Linked DNA regions of Arabidopsis thaliana. The protein of the gene in region 2 interacts with the protein of the main gene of each other region in a pairwise test. Each region holds a gene or a part of one and is shown on either strand. Other genes may lie near its edges.

The links.
Region 1: the proteins of PLT2 (region 2) and NAC020 interact in a two-hybrid assay, tested with the Arabidopsis thaliana proteins (one study listed by BioGRID).
Region 3: the proteins of PLT2 (region 2) and MYB58 interact in a two-hybrid assay, tested with the Arabidopsis thaliana proteins (one study listed by BioGRID).

Annotation. Positions count from the first base shown.
Region 1 is NC_003070.9:20,277,568-20,284,120, reverse strand, and holds NAC020 (NAC domain containing protein 20), read left to right. Parts: upstream 1-3,168; 5' UTR 3,169-3,231; coding exon 3,232-3,388; intron 3,389-3,540; coding exon 3,541-3,809; intron 3,810-3,926; coding exon 3,927-4,406; 3' UTR 4,407-4,614; downstream 4,615-6,553. Other genes in the region: ICDH (isocitrate dehydrogenase), read right to left, coding at 123-232, 312-355, 553-601; AT1G54320 (LEM3 (ligand-effect modulator 3) family protein / CDC50 family protein), read left to right, coding at 6,328-6,415.
Region 2 is NC_003070.9:18,973,634-18,982,283, forward strand, and holds PLT2 (Integrase-type DNA-binding superfamily protein), read left to right. Parts: upstream 1-3,542; 5' UTR 3,543-3,716; intron 3,717-3,833; 5' UTR 3,834-3,883; coding exon 3,884-4,022; intron 4,023-4,274; coding exon 4,275-4,722; intron 4,723-4,810; coding exon 4,811-4,893; intron 4,894-5,046; coding exon 5,047-5,055; intron 5,056-5,161; coding exon 5,162-5,250; intron 5,251-5,347; coding exon 5,348-5,421; intron 5,422-5,545; coding exon 5,546-5,673; intron 5,674-5,935; coding exon 5,936-6,672; 3' UTR 6,673-6,985; downstream 6,986-8,650.
Region 3 is NC_003070.9:5,627,451-5,633,991, reverse strand, and holds MYB58 (myb domain protein 58), read left to right. Parts: upstream 1-2,903; 5' UTR 2,904-3,147; coding exon 3,148-3,286; exon of another isoform or gene 3,287-3,367; coding exon 3,368-3,497; exon of another isoform or gene 3,498-3,515; coding exon of another isoform or gene 3,516-3,577; coding exon 3,578-4,133; 3' UTR 4,134-4,337; downstream 4,338-6,541. Other genes in the region: AT1G16480 (Tetratricopeptide repeat (TPR)-like superfamily protein), read left to right, coding at 5,336-6,541. UniProt on the Arabidopsis thaliana protein: Transcriptional activator that binds DNA to the AC cis-elements 5'-ACCTACC-3', 5'-ACCAACC-3' and 5'-ACCTAAC-3' of promoters and specifically activates lignin biosynthetic genes during secondary wall formation mediated by SND1.

The DNA.
Region 1 (6,553 bases), 1.3 Mb from region 2:
GCAGACAATATATTCTGAAACCAATAGCCATGAACAAGCTTTATTCACAGAACAACCTCAACACTAGAAGCAGAAAGCATGGAGAATATGATATCTAAGTATAAAATGTAAAGACGACATACTTTAAAGTAGCTTCAGCAGTCTCTATAGTAACCTTATCATCAGTGAAATCGCGGTTAGGCAGTCCAAGATCAAAGTATTTGATATCCAGCTCCAGGAAAGGGAAAATAAGCTGCAAAATTCTCAAGATTTTAATCACAAAAAGAATTCAATCTGTGATTAAAGATTTAAAAAAAAGTTAAGATTTTTACCTTGTCTTTGATGAATTTCCAGATAACTCGAGTCATTTCGTCTCCTGCTTGTGCACAGAGAATAAATAAAGAGTCAAGTTTCTGAATTTATTTCATAAAACTATAACATATAGAAGAAAAGAAAAACCCGGAACAGAGCCGATCACATATACTCCAATATAAGCAAATCAATCAATCAGAGTAACGAGAAACCCATAATCGTAATCATAGATTTGAGCTAATTGACTGTTCGAACACTTACCATCCATTTCAACAACGGGATTGATCACCTTGATCTTCTCGAATTCCATCTTTGCCCGCAGAGGTTGGTAATGATCGACGAGTGAAATTGAATAGTGAAACGATCACCTCTGCTCCGCCATGAAAGACAGACGATAACAGCTCTATATCTCTATGTTGGGCCACACTCTTCCAAAAGCCCAAATAATCAAGCCCACTTATATATGGGCCTGATTCTGCAATTTGAAACCATGCTTCTCTTTTTGTATACTAGCATCATCTTTGAATTCCCCGCAGTGATAGTCAGCTTTAACAGTAATCATCAAAATCTTAAAATTGAAGAAGATCTGCTTTGGCTAATTGATTGAATAATTAATCAAAATTTGAGATAACAATCACGAGGTGGTCCTGTAGGATTAGTATATTAAAAAGAGTAATGAGTGTGACCACTTTAACAAGGGTAGAAATGAGATTTAATGCATGGAGAAAAGCAAAAGGCAAATAACGCAAATGTTTTTGGACAGTGACATTGTTCTTCTGCTATAATTGAGATGCGTGAAAAAACATGAAAGCAAGAATCTCTAGAGACACAGGGATTCCAACTTGTATTATTTAAAGGCTTTTCTTTTTTCCTTGGATCAGTTTGTTTAGCACAAACTAATATGAGATGGAAAAAAAATATGTTTTGGAAACCGACATGTAGGGAATCAGATGCTACTTTTTCTGAACAAGACTCTTCTTCTCTTTTAGAAGAATTGTGATTGATGTTGATGTTTAAGATGATGTATGATCATTTTATTAACAAACCAACAAAAAAGGGATGATGTATGTATTATCATGATACATGATACATGTCAACATGTATATCGTATGTATGTATTATCATGATTCCCCCATAGAGTCCCGCCTTTGCCAATTTCGTCATGGATATATATACACGTAAAGTTTGTTTACTATTCATTTAATAATGTCACTATTGTGTTACGTCTAATTAATTAATGTTTATTTGATACTCTAGATATCAATACTATAAGCTTGAGAAAGAGTATAGGTACTTGATACATGTGAAATGGAAATATAAAAGGGTTGATAAGATAAGATGCTTAGATCTTAATTAGCTTTATTCGCTTCCCCTTAGATCGTATCAAAGGTTGCATGTCTTTAGTTAGGCTTGCATGTTAGCTTCCTCGTTGTCTTTATTAATTAATTAATCCACATTCCTTTTGCATTTGTGATACAACATTTATATATATAGTCACATTTTTTTTTATATATAGTACTCACATTAATTACTTGTTCATATAGACTTAGACTCGATTTGTGACCAAGAAAAACAAAGTGGTGAAACAATTGGGGCATGTCTTGTTGTTGTCGTTTGATAAGTTAAACTGTTAAAGCATCTTTCGCCAAAATATTTTTCAGTTGCTATCTTTTGTTTTTTGTATCTGTCACTCTCTCTCTCTCTCCCTAAGTTATTGGTGACCACATCTTAAAGCTTCCCTAAAATGTTATTGTTATTTCTTTCTCACGGAAAAGGGAGAGTTACTTACTTGAAGTTTGAATATTATACTTTATAAGAATGGAGGAGTTTTATATATGTCGCAACTTGTGGACTCCCTCAGTATTTGATCATTTCCTTACATAAAACGTTTGATTACTTCATTCTGTTAAATTCCGTTTACAATGTTCTTCGTCTACATGTGAATTATATATATTAGCAAACGAAAAAAAACCATGTAAACGAGACATCTAATATATGACATGAGTTATATATATCATACATGTGAAGAATGAAGATGTCCTTATTTTTTTAATTTATCTTTTGGATCGAGGCCGAGAGTCGAGGCAAAAGAGATTTGACCGGAAGTTAGTAAAATTGAAGGGCCGAGAGAAAGAGAGTCAAAGATTGTGTGGGAGTAATGATGTAAAAGAGCCGAACAACGTCTTTAATCCATATGTAAAAGGGACTAAAGAAGCCTCCCAACACTAAAGCCAAAGTCGACTTGGATGCCTCCTGCTTTTTTATTCTCCCATTTTTTAATCATATATATGAATTCAATTTATAAGTATTCTTATTATAAGACCATAACAACATAAAACAATATAACAAAACTGTCAAACCGAAAAAAAAAGAAAAGAAAAAGCCGAGTGTTTAGGTGTCGCCAGGTAGATTTGGTTTGAGAAGAAGAGATGGGTCCCCTAAACTGTTGAATCATAAAAAGCCTTCATTTTTGGTTTAAAGCAAACGTTATAAAAATCCCTCTATAATGATTCATGACCCACGTTAAGGTCTAACCGGAATTATAAGCATATACATTCATATATGTGAGTATTTGTGAGATGGGGCCTTCTTGCTAAAGCTTTTTCCGTCTCTCCTCCTACTAGGGTTTTCACACTTGCAGAATCTTCAAAAGCCAGAGTTAGGTTTTTATTTAAAATATATATATTGGTTTTAGAAAATATGTGTGATGAGTATCATGACAAACACTGACCAAAAAGCAACCCAAAGTAAGACAAAATATTAATCTCAGAAGATGCCAATCCCATGGCATACTTTTACACATTCCCATATCATATCTTCTTCAGAGTCTCATCTTTTTAATTATATATAGTCACCTTCATATGTCGTACGAACATCCTAATCACTTTAATTAATCTCTCTCATCTCTTTCTCTCTCGTTTTCTAACGCATACACTTTGAATGGCGCCCATGAGTTTGCCTCCAGGATTCAGGTTTCATCCCACTGATGAAGAACTGGTGGCTTACTATCTTGATAGGAAGGTCAACGGCCAAGCCATTGAGCTCGAGATCATCCCAGAAGTTGATCTTTATAAATGCGAGCCATGGGACTTGCCTGGTACGATCCAACTCTTTATATCTCTCTCTATATATGGTTCAGCTTGTTTATGTCAATCTGACGTTATAGATTACATATATTGGTCATGATGCATTCATACATATGATATTGGAGGTTTTATGAGTTATTTATTTGGATAATACGCGGAACAGAAAAGTCATTTTTGCCGGGAAACGACATGGAATGGTACTTTTACAGCACAAGGGATAAGAAGTATCCAAATGGCTCTAGGACGAACCGTGCGACCCGAGCGGGTTACTGGAAGGCCACGGGGAAAGATCGTACAGTAGAATCAAAGAAGATGAAGATGGGAATGAAGAAGACACTGGTTTATTATAGAGGAAGGGCTCCTCATGGCCTTCGTACTAATTGGGTCATGCATGAATATCGTCTCACGCACGCTCCTTCCTCCTCCTTGAAGGTAAATTATTTCCCATGCACAAACTTCTATTAACATATATATCTATATTCATTTCTGATCTAATTTTTTTTTTTTTGATAAACCATATCGACTAATATTAATGTTGATCTAAAACAGGAGTCGTATGCATTGTGCCGAGTGTTTAAGAAGAACATACAAATTCCAAAGAGAAAAGGGGAAGAAGAAGAAGCAGAAGAAGAGAGCACTAGTGTAGGAAAAGAAGAGGAAGAAGAAAAGGAGAAGAAGTGGAGAAAATGTGATGGTAATTATATTGAAGACGAGAGCTTGAAAAGAGCATCCGCGGAGACATCTTCATCAGAGCTAACTCAAGGGGTCCTTTTAGACGAAGCAAACAGCTCATCCATATTTGCTCTTCATTTCTCATCTTCTCTTCTGGACGATCATGATCATCTTTTCTCAAACTATTCTCATCAGCTTCCATATCATCCTCCTCTTCAACTCCAAGATTTCCCTCAACTTTCTATGAACGAAGCAGAGATTATGTCAATCCAACAAGACTTTCAATGCAGAGACTCTATGAACGGGACACTTGACGAAATCTTCTCTTCTTCCGCCACTTTCCCCGCTTCCCTTTGATAAATCCATATCTCATACTATCATCTAGTACTTCTTTTCTCAACTTATTTAAATATACTCGGGTACTTCATATATAGTATTTTTTTTTTTACTTGTTTTTTGCTTATGAATTAGTTTGACTGGTGAAAAAGGGTGAGGAGGTTTGTGGAATTATTTTTTCTACCACAAAAAGAAATTGCATTATTTTATTTTAATTTTTATCATTAGGTGTGTATGGTACTTAATCACTAGAGTTGGTTGGTTTTGTCATATATAGGAGGGAAAACGGAAGTAAAAATTGTGTAATCGATCGACATTACTTATTGGTTTGCATACTTGTAGACTTAAAATCTGGCATGGGCGTCATGGCAACGCAAATTTGGAAAACTTTTCGGATTATATATGTCCGACTGCGGATCAATATCTTATTTAACTATATATATGTGTTATGAATATGAAACAAAAGTTTTAAAATCTGAATGAATAAAGAAAAAATTCTCAAGAAAAGAAGCTGAAAACAAAGAAGAGAGAAAAATCGAGACAAATTTCACTACAAACAAAATAAATTCTTTATTAAAAAAGATGAGAATTACAAGACAATGATTAAAGACATCTCGAGTTTATGATACTATATATAGTTTGTGATTGATTTGGAAGATACAAACAACATTATCATGAAGAAATCTCTAGTTTATGATACTTTTAATTTAATTTAACCAAGTGATAGTGGTCTAATAGTTTTCACTTGAAGACGAATCATCGTTTTTGTCTAGGTCATACATTGATCTCTCTCAAATGCAAGATTATTTAATCATTCTTATTATACTATCCCTAAAACAATCTTACTATAAATGAATCTTTAAAATATATATATATATATATATATATATATTGCAGTTTCAAATCCAAACATATAATAAGATAATAATTTGTTCGTTTGAAATTCAACATGATCGTATATGCATAAACTTGCAATAAAACATACTAAACTTTTTAAATTTTGTATTCATCAATTAACACTGATCATAATCCCATCCTCTAAAGTATAAACTCTAGTAAAACCTCTATAAATTAATACTCGATAAATTAATAATCTCTATAAATTAAGAAATGTTTTTGGTTCCGAGTTGGGATCAGTATAAAAAGTGACACAAATCGATAAATTAATAAGATAATAATTTTTTTGAAAATCCTATATAAATATATGGTCTCATCAATATCATAAATTAATAATTATTTAAATGTATCAATTATATATATACATTATATGTAAGAAATTTCTTTGAAATATAATTCTAATATTTGTTTGCTTAAATTTGTATTTATCCTTATTTGAAATATAGTTTTAGTATTTTACTATATCAAAAACTTTTGGTGTTATTTTCTAAATATGATATTATTTTTTACTTGTAATTGATTCTTGAAAGATATTTTCTATAATGAAAAAAAATCTTATACAAATTTTTGAAAAGTTACTAAATTAGGAAAAATTTTCTATTAATTAATAAATATTAAATTATCGATAAATTAAAACCCCTCTAAATTAATAAAATTTTGCAGTCCGAACATTATTAATTTATAGAGGTTTTACTGTATCCAATATTTGAAGGAAAAACGTTCCAAATCAAAAAATTTGTAGAACTTAAAAACATTTTATGATGCATGGGAGATTTTGGGCTTCAACTCAACAAAATAGAGTAAAGCCCATTATAAAGCCCACAAAGTGGGCCTTTCATTTTGACGTCAATATGGGAATAATACCGGTTCTTTCTGTTAACGACGACGAATCTTCGTCTTCCCCTTGTTCTTCTTCTTCCTCTTCATTTTACTTTCTCTTCCCGATTTCTCTCTGTCCGATTCACCTTTTCCTCCGATCTCGGTCTCCTTAGATTCCGGAATAATCCCCTCAAGGCTTGGCTTAGTAATCGTCGTTTTCTCCGCCATGAGTTCCAATACGGCGTCGTCCAGCGCGGGGGCAGCCGGATCGGGAGATTCTTCCGCCGCTAGGAAGAATTCAAAGCGACCCAAGTGTATTTATCATCTTCCCTTCGCTATCTTCTTCCGATTATTCATTATGGCTTATCGTTGACTCTTCTGTCTTATTCGAATTGGATCAAATTCTCTCTGGACTTGCTAGTTTTTCAATAACAATTTGTTAACAGCTTTGG
Region 2 (8,650 bases):
CATTTTTATAAAATGCATGCAAAGCCAAACCTAACTCAGAACATAAATTGACAATATTTTTGATCGAATAAATAGACACGTGACGGTGGAGATATTACAAGAACAAGACACCAAAATCTGAAACGTTGCCAATAAAAAAAAAAGTAATGACCGGTGATATCCGGTGGCTAAAGACAACAAATTGCACCTCTCTTTACCCTTCTCGACACACATTTCAACTCCTTAGAGCAACATGAATGGTGGTCTATCTTATGAGTCCCTAAAAACCAAAATAATAATAATATTTTAATGTTGTTATTATATTTTAGTTTTTTAATAGAGTTTGACTACTAAAAGAACTACACGTGTATATTTAGGGTTGAGACTGTCCTTTAAATAAGGTTTTTTGGATCTCTTCTCTCCTCTGTCCTTCTCTTTTTAATTATTTTTTTTTTATTTTTATTATAAGGGATTCATAAGAGAGACCACCATTACTGCTGGTCTTAGATTCTTCCGGATTTCTGTAAGTTTTTTAATCTTTTGTTTATTTTTAGACCAGAACCTGAAGAACTATTTCTATATACTGAATAACTCGCTTTAATCTATTGTAATAATTCTATAATTTTTAGGTATACATTTCAATGGATCAGTTACTCTTTTACCTAATCACTCTATTTATTTATTTCTGTCATAACACCTTTTTCAGTTTTGTTTTTTACTTTCTTCTTCTTTTGTCTGATTCCTACTATGGCCTTTCATCCTTTTTTTTTTTTTGGTTGTGGATCTGAATGAAAGTTGTTCTTTTTGGTTTGGTGAGTACTTTTACAAAAAATGACATCTGTGAAAACAGAACTGAAGACTTTCAAGAAAGTAAAGTGAACATAGACACTTTACTATATTCGGATATGTGTTGCATATAATCGCAGTTGTAAATTGTAATTTGTCGAGAATAATTATCAATGTAGACAGTAATTTGCTAGATCTTATTATGCTAAACATGCATGCAATTTGGCTTGTTACCTTTTCTTAGTCAAACTCACTGTTTCTTTAATCTTATATTTAGGAAAAAGTCATTAATTTGGCGGGAAATTGTTGTAAAATGGCAACAGGTGATTCCTTTTTTTTGTCCTTTGTTTTACTTAAAATCTTCAAAAATATTATGAATCATATGATCACTATTTCCTTACATATTTAATCATATGATCAGTTGATCGCTGTTAGACACCATATCGTTATTTGATTATTATTCTTTAGATTCTAGGAGCATTAATTATTTCAGAGGCAGCAGTCTGAACTCTGAGTAAGTTCAGTTTGAGGAAAGCAAAAAAGGAAATTTATTTTGAATAGAATTTTTTTAATATAGACATTTTTTATACACATATATAAGAAGCAATATAGAAGGAAGATGTATAAACTTTGAAGCGGGCCTATTGCTATATAAATATATTTTGGGTGAGCCCTAACCCTCTTTTGTTTTTTTTCTGGCAATGGAAATTAAATGTTTAATGTTAAAATGATATCATGTTTCCTCAACTCATTGATCTCTCCTCACTAATTTTTGCTAGGAATATATCTATATATTATATATATAATCATCACTGTCCATAGTAATTAAAAAAACATTTCTTCAAAAATAATGTGATATTCGAACATGTGTTGTAACTTTATCCATGTATTGTGGTTTTATTTGTTTGCATTTATATCATAGTAAATCTTTGAAATTATGATTTGCATGTTTTAAGCAAGACGTGATAGGTACTTTGTTTTGAAATTAAATAATATATTTTTTTTTTCTTGAAAGGTTTAGAGTTTTGTCTTACTGTTGGGATAGTAACTTACTAACTTATGCCTGATAGTAACTTATTCTCATTTTGAATTATATAAGAGGTTGAAAATGTTGAATGACTATTCATCTCAGTTTTTACCATTTGAAATGATCTGAATGATGTTTAACTTTTTTTTTGCAGATGAATGAGCTGAATGATGTTTAACTTTTTTTTTTTCAACTAAAAAAATTTCAATCATTCAACTATATTTCATCCATTTGAAGCAATAGTATAATATAGTTATCTACGTGAGATTTGTTTGTTCTTCAGTTAAAAATGTGGATTATTGGATATCTATATAATGATATTACGGATATCTATAAAGGTAATAATTCATCTTATAGAGTAGAATATTAAACCAAAATTATAAATTGAGAACCAAAACGAATGCCATAAATTCTATAATGTAAATGGGAACTTGAGTTTTTTTTTTCTTGTTGAAGAGGATGTATAGTGTGGTTAGTGTTAAATATTGACCGATTCTCTGTTACGGTGAATGTACAAAAAATTAGCTATACAGTATTTATTATGTACATATACATTAATATGAACGGTGTTATGGATGACACAAAGGCATGCGACTAAACAAAGACCTGGCTCCTAGCACAATACGAGCTTCTAGTGTGCCTAGGACATAAGTAATTGTATCTTTTAACTCTTAAATATTGTTTTATTTTTATTTATTCAAATCACTTAACAATACTATCTCACTTTGACGGGTGCGAAATCCAATTAATCGGTCAACAGATTTTAACTCGGGAAAGCCAAAACAAAATCCCACCCCAATTTTTCTCCATTTACTAATTTTCTTTTTACAGGAGAAAAATATTTATTAATAGGATGTTATTCCTTTTTTCTTCCGTCTCACTTATATTCAAATTATTTTGAACGAAGAGTGACTTTTACTCTTACCAAATGTGCTTTGTTGATATTTAATTAATTACGTCTGTTCATATAATATTGCATGTCCGTACACACATGCAATGAACTCGGGGATCTACAAATAAACTATAATTTAAGAGGATCGATCCAATTGTTGTTTTATGTATATTATCTTCATATCTTGGACTCTCTCAATGAGATTGCATGTATGTGAACACGTAGACGTATACGAATACGTAGCCGTGAGCGTACACATGTATATGGATATGTATGTACATGTGTATGTTAGTATGTAGAGATCAGAGGGAAGAAAATATGGTCAATGGTAAGAGATGATTTGCGGAGTGTGGGAATGCTGGGCTTAGGGGAGTCATTAATCGCATTAAACGAGGGACGTGAGTTCCAATAATCCAAGTGGGTAATTTAGAGAAAGAGGTGATTTTAATTTTTTGTTGGTTTAAACTTTAGAGAGAGAGAGGGAATTAGGGTTTGGACTTTTTCTAGTTGGAAGCGTAGATTTGTCTTATTTACGACACTCGTGTCCCTATTTATTTCAATATCATATACAGATCTGCCAAACAGATATTTTAAAGAAGTGCATTTGTATTCATTTTAGTCACTTTATGTGCCAACATTATTTTAAAGTCCATTCAATGTAGTATTATTTTATTTATAAATGTGGTTGTGCATAAAAATTCTACTTTATTTCTATATATACTTGCATCTTTTTAATGGTTGCTAAATTAATTTACATCAGTCCCTCCTTGATGAGATCATAAAAGGATTATTTAAAAACATTTAAAGCGAGCCATAGGTTTAACTTTAAAAAAACCTGTTTAGCTTCCTAAAAATTATCTTTAAGACTTTAACAGAAATCTTCTTCTCCTTTGTTTCAACCTTCAAGTTACGAGAGAGATATATATATATAGTTTTTACTTTCTAGAGAGAGAACGTAAGGCAAGGATTTTGTTTGCAGCCATACTTGGAGAAAGCAGAACTAGATCTCTTCCTCTTCTCAATCCTTGACAAGTAATACCTCTTCATGATTTCTCTTTACCAAACTTGCGTTTCTCAAATCTCTTGACTTATATATCTTGTGATACGTCTCTAATCATTTTTTTTTTCTTCCAATTCCTATCATTTCAGATCAAATTATATACCTCACTGGTTTAAGCTTTGATTCCAAGAAAAGGGAAATGAATTCTAACAACTGGCTCGCGTTCCCTCTATCACCAACTCACTCTTCTTTGCCGCCTCACATTCACTCTTCACAAAATTCTCATTTCAATCTAGGTTTGGTCAACGACAATATCGACAACCCTTTTCAAAACCAAGGTATGTGCACTCACATTTATGTATATGTATGTTCATATTCAAGGCCTTAATGCAATTCTTTTATTAAACATATACTATTTGCTATGTTAAAAGCTTTTAAAAACGAAGGGTTCAAATATTAAGACATGTAAAATCGAAAGCATCATTGCACATGTTTTAAGATTGTTATGTTCATATATTTTCTTGTTTTTTTTACAAATTTTTGTTTGTGTTTTCACCACAAAAATAATTAATTATATTCTTTCTAATTAGGATGGAATATGATCAATCCACATGGTGGAGGCGGCGAAGGTGGAGAGGTTCCAAAAGTGGCTGATTTCTTAGGAGTGAGCAAATCGGGGGATCATCACACCGATCACAACCTCGTACCTTATAACGACATTCATCAAACCAACGCCTCCGACTACTACTTTCAAACCAATAGCTTGTTACCTACAGTCGTCACTTGTGCCTCTAATGCTCCTAATAATTATGAGCTTCAAGAGAGTGCACACAATTTGCAATCTCTCACTCTCTCTATGGGAAGTACTGGAGCTGCCGCTGCAGAAGTCGCCACTGTGAAAGCCTCGCCGGCTGAGACTAGTGCCGATAATAGTAGCAGCACTACCAACACAAGTGGAGGAGCCATCGTTGAGGCTACACCGAGACGGACTTTGGAAACTTTTGGACAACGAACCTCTATCTATCGTGGAGTTACAAGGTGTTTAAGATGTCTCAATTTTTTCGCGTGACAATAATAAAATGCGTATATAAATTTGTTACTTAATTTTTTGGGGTGTTATATATAGACATAGATGGACCGGTAGATATGAAGCTCATCTTTGGGATAATAGCTGTAGAAGAGAAGGACAATCAAGGAAAGGAAGACAAGGTAAGTGTAGTCATTTATTTGATTGATTACTTCATTTTATTTCCTCTTTCGGTCTTGTCTCGATCGAAATCTTAATTTCGGACTAATTATGTTCCTCATCATTCTTATGTTTTCTTGATGTTTGTATCTTGGACTTCTTCGAAATCTCTACAGTCTACTTAGGTGAGTATAAATGATTCTTTCATTTTTCTTTTGTTATTGATTATAATTTGATTTAAAGTAATGTATATACTGAAGAATGGTTTGTTTAATCGGACTATGCACTCAGGTGGGTATGACAAAGAAGAGAAAGCAGCCAGAGCATATGATCTAGCTGCACTTAAATATTGGGGTCCCTCTACTACTACCAACTTTCCGGTAAGTTATTTCAAATTTTCATGAATATTTGTAATTGTAATAATTGTTGATAATATCGTTAGTTCCTCCGTAATTTTTATTTGATTGCGTATTTTAGATAACTAACTACGAGAAGGAAGTAGAGGAGATGAAAAACATGACGAGACAAGAGTTTGTGGCTTCTATAAGAAGGTGATTTTCCTTTTAATCGGACCTTGAATGTAAAACTTCAAATAGAAGCTAAGTAGGAACTTTCTAATCAGATAATTCTATGAAAAAACTTTCTAATTAAAGAACCTCGCGTAAACAATTGCAGGAAAAGTAGCGGATTCTCGCGTGGTGCATCCATGTATCGTGGAGTAACAAGGCATCATCAACATGGAAGATGGCAAGCAAGGATCGGCCGAGTTGCTGGAAACAAAGATCTCTACTTGGGAACATTCAGTAAGAATAAATATTAACCATGCTTATATATAATTCTCTCAAATCATGTCTTCCTAAATGATATACAAGACCGTTTCAAACTAAATAGAGATCACTTTTTTTTTGGTGAGTACTATATAGAGATCATTAGATATAAATATTAAGTTTAATCTAATATCAAAAATATAATTCAGTTTTATTTTATAGAAAATTATGTGAATTAACACCACTTACAAGCTTAAATAGATATATGGTCATGCTTATATTCATATATTTTGCTCAGGCACGGAGGAAGAAGCAGCAGAAGCTTATGACATAGCTGCGATAAAGTTTCGAGGTCTAAACGCGGTTACAAACTTTGAGATAAATCGGTATGATGTGAAAGCCATCCTGGAGAGCAACACACTTCCTATAGGAGGTGGTGCGGCTAAACGGCTCAAAGAAGCTCAAGCTCTAGAATCATCAAGAAAACGAGAGGAAATGATAGCCCTCGGATCAAATTTCCATCAATATGGTGCAGCGAGCGGCTCGAGCTCTGTTGCTTCCAGCTCTAGGCTTCAGCTTCAACCTTACCCTCTAAGCATTCAACAACCTTTTGAGCATCTTCATCATCATCAGCCTTTACTTACTCTACAGAACAACAACGATATCTCTCAGTATCATGATTCCTTTAGTTACATTCAGACGCAGCTTCATCTTCACCAACAACAAACCAACAATTACTTGCAGTCTTCTAGTCACACTTCACAGCTCTACAATGCTTATCTTCAGAGTAACCCTGGTCTGCTTCATGGATTTGTCTCTGATAATAACAACACTTCAGGGTTTCTTGGAAACAATGGGATTGGTATTGGGTCAAGCTCTACCGTTGGATCATCGGCTGAGGAAGAGTTTCCAGCCGTGAAAGTCGATTACGATATGCCTCCTTCCGGTGGAGCTACAGGGTATGGAGGATGGAATAGTGGAGAGTCTGCTCAAGGATCGAATCCAGGAGGTGTTTTCACGATGTGGAATGAATAAAAGATGAATTCTCTGTGTTTTTTGCGAGGCAAGGTAGGGTATGGAATAATTAGCTACTTTAATTTCCACAAGTATTAGGATCGGCTGGAGTCTTCTTGATTAGTAGAGGATTTAGTGTTTTATTTTCTTACTTTTGACGGCGAAGATGATAAAACTTGTAGACGGCGGTTATCAGAGTCCTCGAGGGTTAGTCTTTTTAGGGGTACTATAGTAACATTAGAAAGTACCCGAATTTTGTTTAAAAGCTAACCCTTCTGACTAATTTTTCAAACTTGTATTCGTAATTTATAATTGAAGATTTATTGTTCTTATATTTTTATTTGATTATACATACTTACTAGGATTTAACCCATGGTACACCACGTAGCAAATATTTTATTCATATATATAATAATATTAAATTTTACGGTTTTAGTTTAGTATTAAAGTTATATAATTTTATATTAATGTTGTAAATAAAAAAATTAATGATGATAAAATAACAAAATAAATATTTAACCTGTGTTATATTAATTTAAATCCATCTTGCTATATTTCATATCTATCCAAACCCGTCCGGCTATATTTTTCGTCTCATGATATTTTAATTTTTTATAAGTTTAAATATTAGTTGTGGAATTAGTTGTGATTGTGATTTTATGCCGAAAAAATTATGAACTTTTAATTCCATGGAAGATTCAAACCAAGATAATGAATGTTTTTAGGTGCACATATAATTGGATTTGTTCATCATACGGGATAGTAAATGTATTTTGGTTTGTTTCACAATGTTTGTTTTAATTTATTGCCAAAATTTAATACATATAATTCAAATAGTTCAAATTTTTGTTGTTTTAAGATTTAATGAATATTGTAGGTGAGATAAAAAGAAGATAATTTATTATGTTTTGCGTGACATATGGGATTGCCATATATTTTAAATCTTTTTGGTTTGTTACACAATTAATTGCCGTAAAAAATCAAACCATTAATTAAAAAAATCAAATAATTAAAATTTAGTGGCAGCCATTGTAAATAAGTCACAACTCCATGATTTATTTCACAAAATATATGCAAAAATGTATATGTAGATTTATGAATTTAAGTGAAAATTGTGCATAATTATAATGCTTACTATGTCTCTATACATAATCTTTAACTCTATTTAGTCAGTGTGCACATAATTTTTGCTTATTAGAAAGGTTTCTTTTGGAAGGACTACAACTCTCAAGTCCCTCAACAACCAATAATGGGGAAAGAAGCTTAATTCTTGGGTCACAAAGCATATGCCTTTTGGGAAGGAGTTTAAAAACATACTTATCTGAGTTTCTGGTCGTTACAAGAATGAAAAAATATGGGTAGCTCGAGATCTGTGATTATGCGTTTACTCACATAGAAATAACATTCATTTCACTGTTGCATTGATCTATAAAAAAAATGCTGGTAGAACAAAACGTTGTACGAAATTAGTAGTGTATAACTTCCTCCACTTCTCCAAACACCAAATCTTGGATCATTCTTAGAGATTTTAATCAAATCATCACTTTCAGAAGACTATTTCTCGGTGAGAAATGATTCTACCCCTTCAAGGTATGATTGTATAGCTTACATGCTTGTTAATCAACAAATGGATTTATTTTTTACTGACATTGATTTTTTCCATACTAAAATCGACAATCAAGGACTTAACCTGTTAAGAGAAAGCTTCTTAGATAACTATTCACATAACTGTATAATATTCTGTTTTTCAAAATTGCATGTAAAGTAAAACAAATAACATATATTGTATTCTTTGTTTCATATATAACTGACTAATTAAGGAGTTCAATTCACTTTGAAAAATGACAAAGAAATAAACTAGCATTTTAACTTGTTGAATAGCCAAACAAAATGCTTTTGGCTTATGATTTTAGAGAATAGACAGTGAAATACAAGTATTGCTCAAACCCAAAAGTATGTATTTTCTCTGATTTTTGTAGTGCTTACAATTAATGATAAT
Region 3 (6,541 bases), about 13 Mb from region 2:
TATATCAAACAATGCGTGCATGCATTCTTAAACTATTATTACAAACTTCCTCGCCACTTGGTTTGGTCTCTTTGATTGATAATGTGCTCTTGTTGTGGTTGTTGTATGTTTGTTTCCTAATAGGTGTTACTCGATCTGGAGGCACTTTGTAACTTTTCCCATTTAATGAAGGTAAGTTTTAGTAAAAAAAAAAAAAAAAAAAAAAAAAAAACTATTATTACAACAACATCAATAAATAGACATATATTATAATTTCTAATTCAAATAGTTTATAGTTGGTTTATGATGTGAACACACTATTATATATACATAACTTGTTCTATTAGACCATTGTTATAAACAAAAAGTCAGTGAATATGATCTTGACGTTGAATGATTTTGACCAAATCGAATTGCAGTAGGGATGCATTTCTGAATTTCATTGCACATAAGGCAAAGAAAATATAAATCTCTTTTGTTTTTGCCAAGAAATATACATATAATCCTAATTAATTTGTTTGGCAAACAAGATCTTGCTCAACTGCTACCGACGTATGAGTATGACCATTAGTATCACACCAGTCACCAATCAAATGCATAATCAAATCTATTAATAAAAACATCTTTCTATTAGTAAAAAACTTTGGTGTTTCACCAAACAAATACATTATATTGTACATACATACTGTCACCAAACATATATACATCCTCTATTTAGTATTTTTGTTTTGTAACTTTTGTTGTAGAAAAAAGAACAAACGTTGCAATCAATTAAAAATATGGTTCTCTATTCAAACATGAAACAACTATAGAATAGAGAGAATTATATTGTTAAACAGTTGAGCTCATTTCAGTTTTATACATTTTAATACGTTTGAGACCGAATAGTTGAATTAGGGAGCCATCTCTCCTTTAAAGGGATAATATATGACGCTCACCAGTACTAGTCCAAAGTATAATTTTATACATTTTAACATAGAATTATTAATTTGTTGTACCACATTTATGCAGTCCAACCGCAATAAGATATAGACCAAATTTCTTATATTGTAACATACGTTCACCACTCTTCGTTGCTAGCTAGTTAGCGGTACAAATATTAAAAGGCAAATTCAACTATTATTCACACCTTAGTAAACAGAAAATGTACTACGGATTCATTTCATTGTACTTGTGGTATTTTATTTACGAAAACGGGCGGCCGAACCAAATCAAAGACTAGAGACAGAGGCGTGCCAATAGCAACACGTTTGCTTTCGTCATGCAAATTGGGATATTTCAACTTTCTTCCATTTTTTCAACCTAGTTTACTAAACTTTTCTTTTTCCAGTGCGAACCTAATTGGTTCTAGTTAAAATAACATTTTCGTAAGTTGTTCACCAAACAAAGGAACATATGATTATAACTTTACTAGAGATGCATGCACAATAATGCTATTGTCGAATAAATACTTATATCTTCTCCAAAAAAGTTTCTTTATTATGTTAGAAGATCCATCAATATACTAATTGATTTTTGGTTATATGTTTTGATTTAAAGACAAAACTATACAGGACATGCATGTGAGAACAAAAATTGTTGTTGTTGTAGTTGCTAGTTGAGTTTTATTTATGTTGCCAAAATAACACCATGTCAACTTTAATTTTCGTCATATAATTTAACGTAAGCATGATGTGTTTCGTCATATCTTGTTTGGCATATGGAATATAAATCATACTATTGATTTGGAATCTTTAACTTAACTTCCTATTAAGTAAGCGATTGATGCTGATATGTATGTTTCTTTAGATTGATGAACGTAATATTAATCAGTAGTGGATATACATTGTATCTTTAGAATTTAGGTTAGTATATTATGGCCAAAATGACTAAATTGAGTACCATAAACTAAAGTTAAAGTAGTGGTAAAAGCTTACGATATTGTTTTATAACAATTTTCAAAAAGTAAAAGATATATAAATGTTAGAGGTTTTGGATAACCATATTGTTCTATAACATTTTAAACATATGTCATATATGTTTCGTTTATAATATTTATGACTTGACCAAATAATTTGTGTATGTTATTTAAATCCAAATATATATGAGAAATATATAGACGACATGATTAAAATTATTTAAAAGAGTCATGATGAGAGGGATGGAGACTAAAAAAAAGAGGAGAAAAAGATAGAACGTCGAGAAATGTTGTGTGTGTATAAAGTAAAGGAAAGCTAATTTGATCATTGTATTCGAAGAAAACAAAAAAGTATACACATGTTACAGGGTTATAGGACCCATTTTCTTTAAAATAAATCCACTATGGACTGATGTACATATTTTTTCTTACTGTTCTTAAGCATGATTTTATATGTATAATATGGTTATAGATTAGAATTTTATTCAGCCTTCCACGATTCTTAACCCTAACCAGTCAATTTTTTCTTCCTTATAAATATGAGTGCCAATCGGAAGGTGATAGCATCCTTACGTCTTGTTTGGTAGATTACTAAGTCAAGTTTTATTCATGAAATTTCCACTTATCAAACTTTCTCATTTTGTTAAAATTTAAAACCGTTTTTCAAAAGTTGGTATAGCCATAGACAGAAAAAAATTATTACAATCCTATCTGATTTGACTCAGACACCCTAATTAGTCAAATCTCAAAATTAGCTAATATTAACTAACGAGTTGCGCATTTTGCAGCAGTACAACAAAATTAGTCAAAATAATTTAGGATAACAGCACTAATCACAGGAACAGGTATTTTTTTTTTTCCTTTCTTTTGACATCATAAAGATGGATTCAACTTATAGATTGGTCAGAGGCAATCTTTATAGGTTTCATGATTGAATAAAAAATATGAGACTCAGTATCTAAGTTTCAAACATGTTTCATCTGTGTTTAGTTGATTACATTTTCATAATAGTTTATTAATGACATATAGAAATGCGAACTATACAATTATAAAAAAGATGTGAATTTTGCCAGATACTCATCCACAATATAGACAAGTTTTTAACCTCAACAAATCTGATGTGACATTTGTCAATGTCTGTGGTTTATAACATGTTTCTCAATGTCAGGATCACACACACCACTTCTCATGTATAAATACACATAAAAGCAATTGGATTTGGTAAGAGGGAATCTCAAAAGTGTGTGTCTGTGAGAGAGGAGAGAGAGAATATGGGCAAAGGAAGAGCACCATGTTGTGACAAAACCAAAGTGAAGAGAGGACCATGGAGCCATGATGAAGACTTGAAACTCATCTCTTTCATTCACAAGAATGGTCATGAGAATTGGAGATCTCTCCCAAAGCAAGCTGGTATGTCTATGATCTTTAAAAGCCTCTTTCTTTAGCTTTTCTAGTCTTCTGGTTCTGATTCTATCTATGCATGCAATGAAGGATTGTTGAGGTGTGGCAAGAGTTGTCGTCTGCGATGGATTAATTACCTCAGACCTGATGTGAAACGTGGCAATTTCAGTGCAGAGGAAGAAGACACCATCATCAAACTTCACCAGAGCTTTGGTAACAAGTATGTGTTATCTTGTTAATGTCTTGTTGTGGGCTCAAAGTTTTGATTTTGACAATAGCTTTTCTGCATTTTGGATTCAGGTGGTCGAAGATTGCTTCTAAGCTGCCTGGAAGAACAGACAATGAGATCAAGAATGTGTGGCATACACATCTCAAGAAAAGATTGAGCTCGGAAACTAACCTTAATGCCGATGAAGCGGGTTCAAAAGGTTCTTTGAATGAAGAAGAGAACTCTCAAGAGTCATCTCCAAATGCTTCAATGTCTTTTGCTGGTTCCAACATTTCAAGCAAAGACGATGATGCACAGATAAGTCAAATGTTTGAGCACATTCTAACTTATAGCGAGTTTACGGGGATGTTACAAGAGGTAGACAAACCAGAGCTGCTGGAGATGCCTTTTGATTTAGATCCTGACATTTGGAGTTTCATAGATGGTTCAGACTCATTCCAACAACCAGAGAACAGAGCTCTTCAAGAGTCTGAAGAAGATGAAGTTGATAAATGGTTTAAGCACCTGGAAAGCGAACTCGGGTTAGAAGAAAACGATAACCAACAACAACAACAACAGCATAAACAGGGAACAGAAGATGAACATTCATCATCACTCTTGGAGAGTTACGAGCTCCTCATACATTAATGAAGCCATAAAGCAAGTCATTTTCACCTTGAAAATGGAATTATTAGCTAACTTATTGGCATTATTAGTATATAAGCAAGATCAGATAGGCGCATGTAGTAGCAACAACGAAGAAACGTCGAATTGTAGACAAAATGTAGATATTACAGAGTTGAAAGATTGTATTTTGCAAATGATTGCTTTGTAGTGAAATCAAGTTATCACAAGCTAACAAGTAACAACCACCTAGATTTGGAAAGCTGACAGATGAAAATTGATTCATCACCTAACAGTTTCTACATAAGAACAAACATAGACTTCTCTTCCAAAATAGATATATCTTCAGCCAAGAGAGTAAAACTTGAAGAACGAAAATGTTTTAGCTTTCACAGATTCTGATGAATACATCGATTGAATCATTCACACAGTTTCAATTGCAAATGCTGAATTTCAAAGGAATCATTTTTTTTTGTTTTGCTTTTGTTTGTTTCTGTAGATATTAGATTCACTTACGCTACATCTGAGTTCTCAACCATGTGGAAGGTGAAGTAGAATACAAACGATTCAGAGAACTTACCCGAAAAAATCCGATCAATTTTCCAATCTTTCTTCGTCCATTTGTCGTTGCGAGACCTAGAAACACTGTGAGACTTGCAGAGGGTTCAAATGGTGTAGGAGAAAACACTTGGGGTAAAATAAGTAATAAAATAATAATACAGGGTTTATATTGCAATTATTGTTTTTAAGATCCGGTACAAAACGGTTTTATATAGTCCAGTGATTCCGGTTTCTGGTACGCCTTTCCGGTTATTTTGGTTTTTGATTTAAAAGAGCAGTCTTTTTTGCTTTCTAGGTTGGTTTCAAATCGTTGATCTTTCCGGGAACCACCGTTGAACACCGACGAATTAGAGCTGGCCAGCTGGCGACGCAAAGTCCTGTTTTTTCAGGGCGGCGATTCTCGTTTGCTCAGTGGATCTGTCTCCCGCCAGTTCAAGACGCGACGAATCTCGACATTGCAATGTTTGAAAAGAGTGGAAGGAAAAAAAGTTACCAGATTGAGTGGATGTTTCTCGCTCTCAGACCATTGGAACCCGGAAATATCTTGTTTCGATCAAATTGGTTTCTCTCAAATCACTATAGAGACTACGGGGAGAGCTGTGCATGCGCTTTGTGTCAAGGGATTAGTTCGTCTGAGTGTGTTGCACACCAACACTTTGATTAACATGTACACCAAGTTTGGCCGAGTCAAACCTGCGCGCCACCTGTTCGATATAATGCCTGTGAGAAACGAAGTCTCTTGGAATACCATGATGTCGGGGATAGTCCGTGTTGGATTGTATTTGGAAGGAATGGAATTTTTTCGGAAGATGTGTGATCTTGGTATTAAGCCAAGTAGCTTTGTGATTGCTAGTTTAGTAACAGCTTGTGGTCGGTCTGGTTCTATGTTCAGAGAAGGGGTTCAAGTTCACGGCTTTGTGGCTAAGTCTGGTTTGTTGTCTGATGTTTACGTTAGTACTGCTATCTTGCATCTCTATGGGGTTTATGGATTGGTTTCGTGTTCAAGGAAGGTTTTTGAGGAGATGCCTGACCGAAACGTGGTGTCTTGGACTTCACTGATGGTTGGTTACTCGGATAAGGGTGAGCCAGAGGAAGTAATTGATATCTATAAAGGTATGAGAGGAGAAGGAGTTGGGTGTAACGAAAATTCCATGTCTTTGGTAATCAGTTCCTGCGGATTGCTTAAAGATGAATCTTTGGGTCGTCAAATTATCGGACAGGTTGTCAAATCGGGACTGGAGAGTAAGCTGGCAGTGGAGAATTCGCTCATATCCATGTTAGGTAGTATGGGAAATGTAGACTATGCAAATTATATTTTTGATCAAATGTCTGAACGTGACACAATTTCATGGAATTCGATTGCTGCGGCATATGCACAAAATGGTCATATCGAGGAATCATTTAGGATTTTCAGTTTGATGCGTCGTTTTCATGATGAAGTGAACTCCACCACTGTGTCTACTCTGTTATCAGTTTTGGGTCATGTAGATCACCAAAAATGGGGTAGAGGAATTCATGGTTTAGTGGTTAAAATGGGGTTTGATTCGGTTGTTTGTGTGTGCAATACTCTTTTGAGAATGTATGCAGGCGCTGGAAGATCAGTAGAGGCAAATTTAGTGTTCAAACAAATGCCCACTAAAGATTTGATCTCATGGAACTCCTTGATGGCTTCTTTTGTCAACGATGGGAGGAGCTTAGATGCGTTAGGACTTCTTTGTTCAATGATAAGTTCCGGAAAATCAGTGAACTATGTGACTTTTACAAGCGCATTGGCTGCCTGCTTTACTCCTGATTTTTTTGAGAAGGGTAGGATCCTTCATGGACTTGTAGTGGTCAGCGGTTTATTTTACAATCAGATTATTGGTAATGCA